3 linked regions of the Drosophila melanogaster genome follow. The protein of the gene in region 3 interacts with the protein of the main gene of each other region in a pairwise test. Each region holds a gene or a part of one and is shown on either strand. Other genes may lie near its edges.

Region 1 (3,348 bases), on a different chromosome or scaffold from region 3:
GTCATGGAAGTTGGCCAACTAATAATTATACCACTATTTTTACTGCTGCTTGACCATTCGATGGGCCAACTCAGGAGGACTCCCATCACTCGTCAGATCAACCAGAACAAGACCCATGCCAATGTGAAGGCGGAGAAGATCTTGCTGGCGGCCAAGTACTTTCTGGTGGACAGACAATCATCACAAACGACACAGGTGCTAGCCAACGGATTCAATCTGGAGTACACCATTCGCCTCTGCATCGGAACACCACCGCAGTGTTTTAATCTTCAGTTCGACACTGGATCATCCGACTTATGGGTGCCGAGTGTAAAGTGTTCAAGCACCAACGAAGCCTGCCAAAAGCACAATAAATACAACTCGAGTGCGTCCAGTTCCCACGTGGAGGATGGAAAAGGATTTAGCATACAGTACGGCTCAGGCAGCTTGTCTGGATTTTTGTCCACGGATACGGTGGACATCGATGGTATGGTAATCAGGAATCAGACATTCGCCGAGGCCATCGATGAACCAGGTTCAGCCTTTGTGAACACCATTTTTGATGGCATAATTGGAATGGCATTTGCGTCCATTTCCGGCGGAGTCACCACTCCCTTTGACAACATCATCCGGCAGGGATTGGTCAAACATCCGGTGTTCTCCGTCTACCTCAGGCGCGATGGTACCTCACAGTCTGGCGGAGAAGTCATCTGGGGTGGAATCGATCGGAGCATCTACAGGGGTTGCATCAACTACGTTCCAGTATCGATGCCTGCCTATTGGCAATTTACGGCTAATTCGGTGAAAATCGAGGGCATCCTTCTCTGCAACGGATGCCAGGCCATCGCCGATACTGGCACCTCGCTCATCGCCGTTCCCCTGCGAGCCTATAAAGCGATCAATAAAGTGTTGAATGCCACTGATGCCGGAGATGGAGAAGCATTTGTGGACTGCAGCAGTCTCTGTAGATTGCCGAATGTTAATCTAAATATCGGTGGCACTACCTACACACTAACGCCAAAGGATTACATCTACAAGGTCCAGGCGGATAACAATCAAACCCTGTGCCTATCCGGCTTCACATACTTGCAGGGTAATTTACTATGGATACTGGGAGACATTTTCCTTGGAAAGGTCTATACGGTTTTCGATGTGGGCAAGGAGAGAATTGGATTCGCAAAACTAAAGAAGCATTCAAGTTATAGGGTTTATGCCTCCAGTTATGTGAAAGAACCATCTAGCTACGGCATCGATTACCCATTCTACGGCGATGAATACTCCAGATTCTTTACTTGAGTCAATTATATTTCAACTCCAAACTAATCCACGTGCCTATTTGTTTCATCATAAACCTTATGGCTAAACACTTGTATTAAAGAAGATTTGTAAAACGAACAACAAATATTTGCCGAGTTCTTTAATCTCTACGACTGGAGTTGGCTTTGTTTCCAAGTCAGCTTAAGTATGCCAACAGAACTCGTGGACGTCATTAACTTCCAGAAATGGAAAATTTCGTGGCTATTTATGGATATTTGCAGTTAGACAATACAAAAAAAATGGGAGAGCAGACAGAAAAGTTATTTAAATTTCGAACCCATTTCAAATCTATTCACAGTCGAATTTCAGCCGCAGACATGAGACAGTTGTTAGTTTTATTGGTGCTTGTCGGGATTGGCCATTCCGCTGCCAAGTTGAATCGCGTCCAGCTCCAAGTGAACAAGAATTTCACCAAGACCCATGGCAGTGTTAAGGCCGAGAAGACCGTGCTGGCATCGAAGTACTCCTTTTTGGCGGAGACCTCTTTCAGTGTCAGTTCGTCGGGTGCCACCGAAAACCTGCACAATTCCATGAACAATGAGTACTACGGCGTGATTGCTATCGGAACGCCTGAGCAGAGATTCAACATTCTGTTCGACACGGGATCGGCCAATCTGTGGGTTCCAAGTGCAAGTTGCCCGGCTTCGAATACCGCGTGCCAGAGGCACAACAAATACGATTCTTCGGCATCCAGCACTTATGTGGCCAATGGTGAGGAGTTCGCCATCGAATACGGAACTGGTAGTCTGTCGGGTTTCCTGTCCAACGACATTGTGACCATAGCGGGAATCAGCATTCAGAATCAGACATTCGGCGAAGCACTCAGCGAGCCGGGTACAACCTTCGTGGATGCTCCTTTTGCTGGAATCCTGGGACTGGCCTTCAGCGCGATTGCCGTCGATGGAGTGACTCCGCCGTTCGACAACATGATCTCCCAGGGACTGCTCGATGAACCAGTTATCTCCTTCTATCTCAAGCGACAGGGAACCGCTGTGCGCGGTGGAGAACTGATCCTGGGCGGTATTGACTCGAGTCTCTATAGGGGAAGCCTCACCTATGTGCCCGTTTCCGTTCCTGCCTACTGGCAGTTCAAGGTGAACACCATCAAGACCAATGGCACTTTGCTGTGCAACGGATGCCAAGCCATCGCCGATACGGGCACCTCCTTAATCGCAGTTCCACTGGCCGCTTACAGGAAGATCAATCGCCAGCTGGGCGCCACCGATAATGACGGTGAGGCATTCGTGAGGTGCGGCCGAGTCTCATCCCTGCCCAAGGTCAACCTGAATATCGGTGGTACTGTCTTCACCCTGGCACCAAGGGATTATATAGTCAAGGTAACGCAGAATGGCCAAACCTACTGCATGTCCGCCTTCACCTACATGGAGGGACTAAGCTTCTGGATTCTGGGTGATGTCTTTATTGGCAAGTTCTACACGGTTTTCGACAAGGGCAACGAAAGGATTGGTTTCGCCAGGGTGGCGGATTATTAACATAACGTTGTTATCGAAAAGGAAATAACTAAGAGAAATACATGCAATACATAAAATCTAACTTGGAGTATTCCTGTGGGTAATAACTATCAGGTTTACTTGCTTACAATGTATGTAAGTAAGATTTAAGTAAATCACAAATCAGAGCGATAGTAAGCTGTGGTAATAGCACCCATCTGCATGCATCTTTATACTCACTTTGGATGGGTCAGCGGAACTTCCAGTATCAATTCGGGCGGGTAATCAAAGTAGTCCGGATCGTGACCATTGGCCGAGACCACCAATGGCAGTATGTCCCACTCGCTGCCCTTGCTCTTCCAGCCCAGCTTGGTGCAGACCTGATGGATGGAAGAGCGATGGGATTGGACATCAAACAAATGTGATTCGGAATCGAAAATCAGCATAAGGCCAGCGGGCAGGCGGTGGCGTATATAAAAGTGACATGTGTAAAAATAAATGGGGATACTTTGGGGCTCGGTTTTATATGCAAATACATTAATGTTGGCATGGGTATGTGGACTATGGATTGACTGAAACCATGGATCGCAGTGTGCCCAAC
Region 2 (3,864 bases), on a different chromosome or scaffold from region 3:
GGTACCTCGCCTTTTCTATGGTACTTTTACTCCGCCCTGCCACGTGCCATGGGTGCATCGCTGGTGCTCGTGCCCATCGGCGTCGCATTGGAGCCACGTATTCGGCCATTGGTCCTGTCGGCTCTCCTCTTTGTCCTTTTGTACTCCATTCTGCCGCACAAGGAGCTGCGCTTCATCATCTACGTGTTTCCAGTTCTCAACATTGCTGCGGCTTGCGCATGCCAACGAATGTAAGCGTCGTATTATTTCATTAGTAAAATGCATTTCTATTATTGGTTTCCTCGTTTAGTTGGATGAACAGCGCCAAGTCAACGTGGCATAGCTTTCTGGCGCTCGCCTGTGGAGCCCATCTCCTGCTAAATGTCTTTATAACGCTCTTCCTGCTTGTCATTTCGGGCACCAACTATCCGGGCGGAGCAGCCCTCTCCCGATTGCATCGCTTGGAAGCTGGCACCTCAAACGTTTCCGTTCACATTTCCAACTTGGCCGCCCAGAGCGGCGTGTCGCGTTTTATGGAAATAAATAATGAATGGACTTACAGCAAGGACGAGACAATGAACTATACCCAGGCGGATTTGGTTGCATACACACATCTTTTGGTCGAGGCGAAGAACAAGCAAAACACTGAACTATGGGCATCGCTCCAAAACGAATTCGATACGCTAGAGTTTATTGACTGCTTCAACAGCATCGGCATTCAATACAATTCTCTGCTGCCGGTGCGAATAAAGACGAAGCCTTGCATTGGTATACTTAAAAAGAGACCAGTGGCTCCAAAAGAGGCATCAAAAACAAAAGAGAAAATAGCAAAAACTAAGACATACCCGGTGGAAAAAGAAACGTTATTAGCTCCTGTTAAAGAATTTCCAAAAGTGATAGGAGATCCGAAAATGAAATCCAGGTTACAAGTCGATGCGGATGATGATGATGGCATCGTGTCCACTGTGGAGGAAATGTCGCTAGAACTGGAAACGGATACTGAGCCCCATGCTGGGGCAGAGACCATCGAAACGCCCTTGAAGGAGATCAATTTCCAGGAGCTGAGAACCCTCGCCTTGGGACAGGCAACCAAGAAGTCGAGAGCAGCCACCAAGATGAAGATTCGACAAATTATCGAGCAGCACTACCGCGCCAAGGGCAAACAAATCGAAAACGACTCCGCAGAGACCCAAAAAACGCAAGGAAAGGCTGGATTACGGCAATCCGTAAAGTCCATCATAAAGCAGGAGAAGATCAAGGAAATGATCGAGCAGATCGCTACGATGGATCTGACACGCATCTGCGATTTGGAAAGGACTTCGACCAAAGATTGCTTAAAACAGGTCATAGACAAAATAGATGACAGCGAGGGTTTGAAATCCAAATGACAAAACCTATCACACTTTAAACTGTTTTATTAAATTAAGCTAAGCGTTTGTTAATGGCACAGTTGTAAAAATTTAAAATAAAAGCAATAATAAAAGCGAATCAAAATTTCAGGAATTTCCTATATCTTGATAGAAAATTAAGTCGCGGCCAAATCGCACCCGAATCGCGTCCGAATCGCGCTAAAGTCGCCTCAAAATCCCCCCTAAATCGCATCTAATCGCGCCTAATTAAGCTCAAACGCTCTAACTAAACATAAATTGCCAAATAGAGTATGACACATTACGGCACGTCGGATATATTTTTTGCTGACCAAAAATAAATATAAATTAAATTATAGAGTATTAAAGTATCGTCATATATGTAGAACTAGTCATTAGGGATATCGCAATATCCCCATCTCTAGCTTAAACGCGATATATGTATTTAAAGTAACAGTGGTGGAAACACACCAAATTATTTCGGCAATAAAATCGAAATTACAAACTTCCAGAAAGCTGTTATCTATATAAAAAGGTGTGATAAGCCTTATGTCGCAGGTGTATCAACGCTAATCCACTTAATGGCGCTTTCACCACAGACCAACCCCTCTCACACGTATCCATTCACCAGCAATCATATGTTTTCTTATCACCTTCAGGTTGACCTCAAACGCAGTACGGCGAATTTTGGAAGGCAATCGGTGCGGTGAAATGGAGCTGACTGGATGGGTGAAGAACTACGGCTGGGGCCGCAAGGGCATCAACTCGGCGGTGGCCCAGCTGGCAATGGCCAATGATCCGGACTTTCGTCTGAACGAGGAGGAGACCTATGCGGAAATGTGGATGGGCACGCATGTGTGCGGTGTGTCCGTGGTCAAGGAAACCGGAGAGACTCTGGACCGAGTGCTAAAGAAGGACCTTTCATACCTGTTCAAGGTGCTAAGCATCAACAAGGCACTCAGCATCCAGGTGCATCCGAACAAGTGCGAAGCGGAGCGCCTGCACAAGGAGCGCCCGGATATCTACAAGGATCCCAATCACAAGCCGGAACTGGCCATTGCCCTCACGCCCTTTCTGGCCCTCGTGGGATTTATGTCAGCCGAAGATATCAGGGACTACATCGATGAGTTCCAGCCGCTGAGTAAACTCATTGGCAAGGAGGCTGTGGATCAGCTCCATGACTCGACCAACTCGGAAAGCGTTAAGTTGTGCTACGAGAAGCTGATGAAGACCGAAGAGCCGGTGATAGCCAAGTGCATCAGTGAAATAGCCAAGGATTACCAAAACGGTGAGCCATTCTGTGCAATCTATGAAAGATTTGTAAACATTCCTCTAAAATAGAACTGAAATCCAACGATCTGCTTGAGGTGTTCACCAAGGTCAACAAAGACTTCCCCGGCGATGTGGGCGTACTGTCCCTGTTCTTCCTCAACCTAATCCGCCTGCAGCCCGGCCAGGCGATCTACTTGGGCGCGAACGAGATTCATGCCTACCTGGACGGCGACTGTGTGGAGTGCATGGCTTGCTCGGACAATGTGATACGGGCGGGCCTAACGCCCAAGTACAAGGATGTGGACCAGCTGCTGGAATCTGTGATCTTCGAAAGTTCGTATAAGGATCGCAAGGAGTTCATTCCGTACCGCATAGATGACCAGGTCCAGGTCTATATTCCGCCAGTATCCGACTTTGCAGTGATAAATGTGAATATCGAACACTCGCTGGAGTCGTACAAGCTGGAGATACAAGCATTCGGCTCCATATTGATAGTTCTAAAGGGATCCCGCATTCTTAAATTGAAAACCCAGCAGGGAGATAAGGAGATCTTGGTAACCCGCGGCAGCATTGTGTACATTCCCGTCGAGGCGGCGCCGGAAATCGAATTCGCCCAGTCCGACGATTGCGACGAGGACTTCAGCGGCTACATAGCAACCAGCAACTACTTTCGAGTGCCCTAAAATTCTCAGTTAATCGAAATATTTTGTACAGTGCAATAAATCCATTAACACGTTTTGGTGGTGAATTATTTTGTTTATATTTACTTGCAATTAAGAGCTAAGAATGTAAGCTAAAGTGGCAATAGTAGCGATAAATAAGTTATCTAATCAATTGGCTATACTCGTTCCATAGTACATTTAATAATTAACGAGAAATATCTTGCGCACAAACAGGTAGTTTCTTAAATATTTGCGATAATTGCAACCAACAATTTCAAGTACTTAAGCTAGAGCTACGTAACTCGATCGGGGTTACATTCACTGGGGATAAATTATTCATATGTACGAAGCAAGAGGTTCGAGTGCAAATCTAGTGTAATTCAATAGAATTGGTGCTTGGACTGCTGTGCTGGGCTTGCGAAATGCCCAAATACATGGCCTACTTAAAAAGGGTTAACAATGGAGAACATAAAATTGGCTACGTTATACATAATTTCCGCCCGTCTTTGTTTGGTTTTTCGGTGCCCGTGCGGGATGCGGTGGTTCTACGAATTGTAAATACATTAATTCACATTTATCCATCT
Region 3 (8,508 bases):
GGAAGCATCCTAAGCTAGTAAACACTATTTTCTTCCGCTATTATTGGATTTTTGTCTATGTACATATAACATTTTAAGATCCACCCTCGCGCTGGTTAAGCAAACGAATTTCGCTTTTAAAAGTTCCGAAATTTTAAAGAAAGCAAGAGAGAATGCTATAGTCGAGTTCCCCGACTATCAGATACCCGTTACTCAGCTAGTGTGAATGCGAACGCGAATAAAATGAGAACAAATTTAGAAATTGTGGGCGTGACCGGTGTGGCGGCTTTTAGGACGTTGGGCGTGGCAAAAAGTTGTTTGTCAAATCGATAGAAATTTTAGCGACTAATAAAATTATGAAATGATATCAACACATTTTTGAAAAGTGTGGGCTTGGCAGGTTTGGGCGGTTTTAGAGCGTGCCAACATGGGTCAACAATCTTGCGCTGCGTCTATGCCTCCAGAATATGTATGCTGAATCTTAACCTTCTAGCTTTTATAGTTCCTGAGATCTCGACGTGCATACGGACAGACGGATATGGCCGGATATGGCCAGAAATATATAGACTTTATATGGTCGGAAACATTTCTGCTTGTTACAAACTTTTCAACGAATCTAGTATACCCTTTTACTCTACGAGTAACGGGTATAGAAATTTACAAAGATATCAACTCGTCTAGAAATTAGAAAAACACTTTGAAATAACACTTAATGTCTAGAATGAGTCGCCCTGAAACCGTTGATGGTCCACTCAAGCATCATACTCCTCTCCAGGTAGCCAAAGGTCACCAGCAGCGCTAGTGATTCCTCAGTGCCTCGTTGATGACACGCAGAATATCAATTTGCAGTTCGGTAAAAGCCACCGGCTCCAGCTGAGCATTGCGTATCTTCATGGACACAGCCTTGAAGAACGCACCTATCTCATCGTCCTCTCCGGAGTTGTGGCCATTGCTGGAGGGATACTCCATATGGGTGGGTTTGCTGGGCGTAATGGGCGCCGAGTGATAGCGAGACGTGGAAGTAGAGCTTGGCGTAGTGGCAGCATTCTGGTACCTAGGCGTGGTTGGAGTCTGTATCTCGATCTTCTGGAACTCCGCAGTTGATTGAAGCTGCTGATTTTCCAGGCTGGTGGCCCCGTCGCTGAGCTGCTCTTGCTTGGACATGGCACTGCCAACGCTTGGAACAGCCATGTAAACGGGTCCATCTTCGTGATCGTAAGTCATTACATGCTGATCCTGCTGCTGAGGAGGTTGTTCCGCCGCCGTTGTGGTTTCCATCTCCTCATCCTCATCGTCTTCCACATCATCATCATTATGGTGTACATCTCCGTTGATGTAATTCTCGATGTCCATGTCGTCATAGGTGGCCACACAGAGTTCACTTGCCTGCTGTTGCTGTTGTTGCTGCTGATGCTGTTGTTGCTGTTGGTGCTGCTCTTCCTGCTGTTGCTGTTGTTGTTGTTGCTCAGCCTTGTGTGGTCCCGTCAAATGAGGCAGGGTGGGCAAGTTAAGCTGGGAATTCGACGAAGACGACTCTAGGGTGATCTGCTGCGTGGGCGGTGAGTGAGACTGGGTCATATGGTCCTCGAGTTCCCTCACCGGGTCATTTTTGGGTAGCAGCATACTGAGTTGCGAATCGCTTTCCCTGAAGAGTAAAAAGTTATCAATATATGATTATGTTAAAATAAACAAAACCTCTCTTACAGCGTCTTTTGTTGTATGTACTTCTGAAGGAAACTGAGCGAATTATAGTGCTTCCAACGCGATGTGGCATCTATGTGCATCAGTGTCCTCAATCGCTTGTGTTCGCGTGCGTATTGGTCCCTTAAAGCCTTCCACTTCAGTCGACACTGTTTCACTAAAATAGTTAATGCTTGAAAAATCATCTTCATCCTTCGGCTGTTTAAGTTTATCAACCACATACCCGACTTCTTTAGTTTTCTGGCGATTTCCTCCCACACCTCCATCTTGAGCTTGGCATTGCGATAGTTCTCGTTGCCGTAGTTGTAGATCATGTCTTCCTGCTGGATCAGCGTGATCAGTTCCTTTTCGAAGTAGCTCTCCATGTTGAGAAATGTGTGTATGGGATCGTCGTCCTCCTCCTCGGCGTTCGTCGATTGATTGTGCGCTGCTGAAGTGGTGGATACATTAGACGTGATTGTTGCTGCCGAGCTCGACTGATTGGCGGCATTGACGCAGTCCACTATTTCGTTGTAGAGAGTGTCTACCACCGTGGTTGTGTTGGCGGTTCCACACTGCACTATGATTGATGGAGTAGCACCGCCTCCCGCATCCGTCAGATAGTTCCAGTTCGCTTCCGGCTGCGAGTGCATTTGTTGCTGATGCTGCTGTTGCTGCTGCTGCTGCTGCAGCACGGCTCCAATATGGCTTGCCAAGAAAGTGGCTGCCGGCTTCTTATCAGTTGAACTAGGCGAACTGAAGCTGCAGCTGTCGAGCAGCGTGGATGCACTGGCATCCTCAATTTTAATGCTGCCGGAAAGGTTTAGATTCTGGCTACTGCTGTTGCTGCTGAAGGAAGTAGTCATGGGCAGCGATAAGGGGGTCACCGTACCCACGGCGCCATTGGAAGTCTGACCAGATCTCCCTCTGTAACTAAAGAATTGTGGGTTTAATTAAATACGGACATATCATTTGGAAGCCTGAAGAACAGAACTAGTGATAGATAGCTCCATATGCTGTATAGTCTGCATTGGCAGTCAGCATGGCGGTGCCAACTTGAATTGCTCCACGTGCTACTTACTTTCTTGCCAGCGCATATGGACGCAGGAAATCCAGCTCTTTGAAATACTTCCACTTCACTGCTTTTGAGCAGGCCTTGGCGCGCTTCAGCTCCCGGCAGTACTGATCCCTCATGGCCTTCCACTTGGACTTGCACTGGACGTCTGTGGAAATGGGATTAAGTGCCAACTTTTTGGTGGGGAAACTTAAACGTTCACTTACCGGACCAACCCACATTGCTGCCAATCTCCAGCCATTTCTCGTCCTTGATCTTGGTGCTGCGGTAGTGGGGATGCTTGGGATTGTATAGCGACTGCTCCTGGGAGACCAGCGAAATGAGGATCAGCTCCTTGGGAATGCTGACCACATTCTCACCCAGACTAGGATCTATGCTGAGATTCACGTGCTGCTGCTGCGGCTGCTGGTGCTCCTGCAGCTGGTTGGCACATGGCAGCGTCTCCATGGCGCTCCCTACTTGGTGTCCATGCTGGCGGTGTGTTAATATGGGCAATTGTTATAAATAAAAACAGGGAAAACAAAAATGAGGTGACCGAACAGCTGATCCTGGAGAGTTGTGTAATTAGAGGGACCAGTTTCGCCTTGGCTATACAAGCATCTTTTTTACATTGAGTGGAACATCTGGTGGCCACCGACCTGGTCACCCTGAACAGTCCAGTGCTGCAAGAGGCGCACACCATTTCGATAAGTTGGCAGCCCGCTCATATGTTCGATTTTAAAATTTTGGCGCCAAAAAATCGTCTTTCTATACATTTGTATTTAACGGCTAATCCAATTAGCTAATTGCATTACCGCTAAGGAAAAAAGAAAACATCATAACATTCAGGCAAAACAAATTGTTTAACTCTCAGTTTATTGTGCGACGCAGTGCGGTTCAAAACTAGAAACTTTCTTCTGGCAAATATTGCAGCCGTCCTTATATAATTAATGCTCCATAATGCCGAAAATTGACCCAGAAACACAAAAACTCTACGACGAAATCAATGGCATGATACAGAAGTTTAAGGTGAATTAAATAAACTCAACGTACAGCGAAGTAAATTAAAAATATCAGATAATAAATATAGCAACAACAAAAGTAACATAAAAAAGTTTTCCCCATATAAAATAACAATACTCTAAAAATACCGATAGCCAGCTTAAAAAGAAATTCGTTGTCCTTAATTTAATTTTAACAAAAAAATATTAATATAACTTTTTGGAATATGTATGATAATATGATTGGGTTTTAAATATCTTGCCAGATTTCATACTTCAGTGCTAACTACTCCCATAATATTTCATCTCGATAATAGTCGAACACATTATTTCCAATTTTGAAAAAATTAAGTGACTTAACTTAATCGAAAACTGTATGCGTCTCTAACATTTATTCTGGAAATTCTTGTAATAAAAATTGTCATTCATTACTATGATTTTGCTTTCAGGATGACCAAAAAAGCAAGGCTGATTGCACGTTGGCCGATAAATGCGGCGACATGGGGGATGTGCCCAAGATTCGATTCTCATCCAAGAAGATTCTCAAGGGCCACATCAACAAGGTGAATTCGGTGCATTTTGCCGGGGACTCGCGGCACTGCGTCACTGGATCGCTGGACGGCAAGCTGATCATCTGGGACACCTGGACCGCCAACAAGGTGCAGATCATCCCCTTGAGATCCGCCTGGGTAATGACGGTGGCCTTTTCGCCGTCGGGTAACTTTGTGGCCTGCGGAGGAATGGACAACCAGTGCACCGTCTACGATGTGAACAATCGCGATGCCTCCGGAGTGGCCAAGATGGTCAAAGAGCTGATGGGCTACGAGGGATTCCTCAGCTCCTGTCGCTTCCTCGACGATGGCCATCTGATCACCGGCTCGGGAGATATGAAAATGTAGGGCTTTGCTTAACTTTTTGGAGTAAAATCTAAGTTTCCTATGACCAACAGATGCCATTGGGATCTGGAGAAGGGTGTCAAGACAATGGATTTCAATGGACACGCTGGTGATATCGCTGGCTTATCGCTTTCGCCAGATATGAAGACCTATATCACTGGCTCTGTGGACAAAACTGCCAAGTTGTGGGATGTGCGAGAGGAGGGCCACAAGCAGATGTTCTTCGGTCACGACATGGACGTGTCATCCGTCTGCGTGAGTACACATATATGTTTTAATAATAATAGCTTATATTAATTACCAAGAACAACTATAAGCAGCTAATCTATTTAGTACTTGTAATTTAATACAAATGTATTCATTACACCCACCCAATTATCATTATCGGTTGCAGTACCATCCCAGTGGCTTCGGGTTCGCCTCCTGCTCGGAGGACCAAACGGCGCGCATGTACGACCTGCGGGCGGACCAGCAAATCGCCCAGTATGAACCGCCCCAGAAGAACACTGGCTTCACGTCGTGCGGTGGGTTCTCGTTCTCCGTCTTGGTGGAACACGGTCGCCTTGACTTTTGACGGGTTTTTAATCTGATTTTGTGTCCCCACCAGCTCTATCGACCAGCGGGCGCTACCTCATGTGCGGCGGCATTGAGGGCAACGTGCACTCGTGGGACACGATGAAGCAGCGGCACACGGGTGGGTATTGGGAATTGGGTAGTTCGTATTGGGTATTGGATATCCATTGCACTTGGGGGATTCGGTGATAAAGAACGGGGAAATGGAGGCGAAGCTAATGCTCAGGCTGGCACTTGACTTACATCGATTTGCTGACCTTCTTCTCCACTTTCTACTTTCTACTTACCATTTGTCACTTTCCATTCCTCCACAGGCACACTGTCTGGTCACGAGAACCGCATCACTTGCATCAGCCTGTGCCCCAATGGCATGTGCCTGGCGTCCACCAGTTGGGATCAGCAAGTGCGTCTGTGGCTCTAATCTGTGCCTCTGATCTGGGTTCAGTGTCGTCCAAAGGCGAAGACAACGTTTATGCGTGCAGTTTGCTTGCAAATTACGTATACGTAATATCCATAGCCTGCAAGTAATAAGGATAGTTCTCAGTGCAGACTAACAATATTAATACAATATTAAATCTATTGTTAAACTTGCGAACATAAGAATAGCTTGCCCCCTTTAAGTGCTAATTTGCAAGCAAAACGTGCGTATGAATATTATTATAATAATTGAATACTTGATTACCTAGAGAAAGTAGCCTCCAATAACAAGCAAGTGCCAATTGGATGTGCGAAATAAAATGTATGAATAGTACAACAAAGTAACACGTCTCCTCCATTAAAACTCCATTGCAACTTAATTTTTTTTATATATTTTTTATATTTTTCTTATAAAAAATACTTATACAATTACGAAGATATTTTTGCTGCTGCGATTTTTGGCGCTTGGTTTTGTTTGTTTGTGGAAATTGTCTTTGAGCTGGTCAAAGAGGCAGCTAGGTAAATTAAAACAAATCACTTTTGAAATCAACAGAGAGATAAAGATACAGGTTCAGATACAGAATAGTCGAAAGTATACAGATAGATAGAAGATAGATAGAAAGAGAGAGAGAGAGAGAGAGAGAGATAGAAATGAAAGTCGCATAAATAACAGATGGATAGAGATAGCTTAGGATCACACAGGAAGCAGGATGCAACGATTTGAGTATTCTGTAGATGGATCAGCATAGATCAGCTGGTACAGTTTGTTTAGTTTATCAGACTCTCGGTGGAACTACTGTGAGTTGTTCTCCTGTTTGGGTAGATGGAAGGATAGCGACGACGGGACGGCCTTAAACGGAGAAGCCATCGCCGGTGGGATCCAGGATCCAGGGGTAGTTGTTGGGGCACTCCATGCACGTGAAGAGACGCAGCGTCTCGCCGGGCAGCTCCCTGGTGGTCAGGGGACACGCGTTGGGCAGAGAGCAGTAGGGCTGGCCCTTGACGTCGCACTTCTCCTTCCACTCCTGGAAGTCGCGCAGCGAGTTCAGCTCGGTGGGGTTCTGCATCCACTGGATCACCTGCAGGTTGGTCACGAAGAACACGTCGTTGCGGCCGAGCATCTCCTCGATGAATTTGATCAGCTCGTCGCGGTACTCCTTCTTCGACTTCAGCCACGAAGCGTGGAAGTGGAGTCCAAGTGGAGCACGGTTGCTATTGTAGTGGCGGTTGAAGTTGTGGCGCAGCAGGCGTGCGAACTGGTCGCCGCTGGCTACGTTTGAGCAGGAGTCCACCATATGGCAACCGGGCAGGGACTCGTCGAAGGTGGGATCGTCGCGCCGGTCCAGCTCGTTCATGACCATCTCCCACACGGGGTGGCTCCTCGATGGGCAGTTGTGCGCGTTGCCGTTGCACTTGTGCGGCATGCGGAAGTACAGGGTGTATGGCCAAATGGGCACGCGGCCAAGGGAGGCGGTGATGGAGGCGTCGTACACGAAGAACTGATCGGCCATCATCTCGAACTGCTTGTTGCCGCCCACGCGGAGGTAGGGCGCCCGCATGCCGATGATGGAGCCGTCGGTGATGTTGGCGAAGCGCTCCACGATCAGTCGGGAGCCGGCCATCTCGGCCAGCCAGTCGTCGTAGCTGCCGCCGGTCCAGTAGTTGGGGTCATCCTTGTGCGTTAGCGAGAACACGGAGATCTCGTGTCCGCGACGATGAAGGTCCTGCACCGCCGAGTAGTTGGTGTACTTGTGGGACACGAAGAAGGTGCCCTTGATGGAGCAGCCGTTGGGATTCTGGCGCTGTCCGTTGAAGATGTCCTCGTACAGGTCGATGTTGTCCACGTTGACGGCGCCGTTGAAGGTGATCGTGATCATCTGGGGCACCTGTTGGGGCTCAATGCCGCCGGGAATGCGGGTTCCGTCCGCCGAGCAGAAGCAGTCGGGCAGGGCGCACTGCGTCGGATCGCATTCGGGGGCGCGGTTGGGATCCTCATCGACAGCTGGAAATGGTAGATGGTTGGGGATCATTCTTCTGGATCATTTATTGAACTTTGCGCTGTAATGTATGCTGCATTTCCTCAACAATTTATCATCTCAAGCACCATTTGGAATTCAGTTCGAATCTGTAGGAATAATCGTGTGTTGGACTTACAGCAGGCGTTCTCATCGGATTCGTCCTTGCAGTCGGACTTGCCGTTGCAGAAGAGCTCCTTGTCCAGGCACTCGCCGTCGCCGCAGGACAGCTTACCCTCGGGACAGATGGGCTCATCCGTCTTCAGGATGGGCTTGGCCTTGCGCGGCTCTGTGGAATGTACACTCAGTTAGTGGGAAGCTACGTTTTGGAGCTACTGGTGGATGGAGGCGTGTTAGTGACAACAAATGTCTAAATTTTGAAATGAGAAGTATTTACATGAGTGTGATGGGGTTTAGTAGTTTAGGTGGTTGTTAGTTTCGAGCTGGGTTAGGGTTTGTTTCGTTCGTGGATCTACCAAAGTTCCGGAAGTCTAACATTGCTGACTACTGTATGTACAGGTGTATATTGGCTTGATTGGTTGGTTTGTTTGTTTGGCTTGACTGTTTGGTCTGGCTGGTTGGTCGTCACACTTACTCTCTTTCTCGTCGCAATTGGTCACCTTGGCCTTCCAGTCGCAGGTCTGCTTGATCACGTCGAAGGCCAGACCCGAAGGACACTGAATTTCTTTCAAACCCGACTTGGTACATCTACAAAATAAAGTTCATGTTCTGATTTCGTATTGGCGTTGCTAGCTATAGAACTTTGGCACCGATTCGGGGGTGGATTCAGGGTGTTTATGCAATGACTCGATCGATTCGGGGACTCGGGGACTCCCCGGTTTTAGTGACACACACAGAGAGAGACAGAGACAGATACAGACACACACACACAC

The links. The genes of interacting proteins can lie anywhere in the genome.
Region 1: the proteins of Gbeta76C (region 3) and CG17134 interact in a two-hybrid assay, tested with the Drosophila melanogaster proteins (one large-scale study listed by BioGRID).
Region 2: the proteins of Gbeta76C (region 3) and Mpi interact in a two-hybrid assay, tested with the Drosophila melanogaster proteins (one large-scale study listed by BioGRID).

Annotation. Positions count from the first base shown.
Region 1 is NT_033779.5:10,819,120-10,822,467, forward strand, and holds CG17134 (uncharacterized protein), read left to right. Parts: upstream 1-1,585; 5' UTR 1,586-1,613; coding exon 1,614-2,789; 3' UTR 2,790-2,848; downstream 2,849-3,348. Other genes in the region: Nos (nitric oxide synthase), read right to left, coding at 2,988-3,127; CG6508 (uncharacterized protein), read left to right, coding at 4-1,275.
Region 2 is NT_033777.3:9,757,845-9,761,708, forward strand, and holds Mpi (mannose phosphate isomerase), read left to right. Parts: upstream 1-1,777; 5' UTR 1,778-1,881; intron 1,882-2,005; 5' UTR 2,006-2,057; coding exon 2,058-2,634; intron 2,635-2,687; coding exon 2,688-3,301; 3' UTR 3,302-3,364; downstream 3,365-3,864. Other genes in the region: Alg12 alpha-1,6-mannosyltransferase, read left to right, coding at 1-230, 290-1,367.
Region 3 is NT_037436.4:19,684,055-19,692,562, forward strand, and holds Gbeta76C (G protein beta subunit 76C), read left to right. Parts: upstream 1-3,582; 5' UTR 3,583-3,673; coding exon 3,674-3,742; intron 3,743-4,163; coding exon 4,164-4,609; intron 4,610-4,663; coding exon 4,664-4,865; intron 4,866-5,004; coding exon 5,005-5,134; intron 5,135-5,217; coding exon 5,218-5,304; intron 5,305-5,497; coding exon 5,498-5,604; 3' UTR 5,605-5,938; downstream 5,939-8,508. Other genes in the region: CG8765 (uncharacterized protein), read right to left, coding at 778-1,624, 1,684-1,837, 1,904-2,592, 2,741-2,882, 2,941-3,181; verm (vermiform), read right to left, coding at 6,452-7,602, 7,755-7,904. UniProt on the Drosophila melanogaster protein: Guanine nucleotide-binding proteins (G proteins) are involved as a modulator or transducer in various transmembrane signaling systems.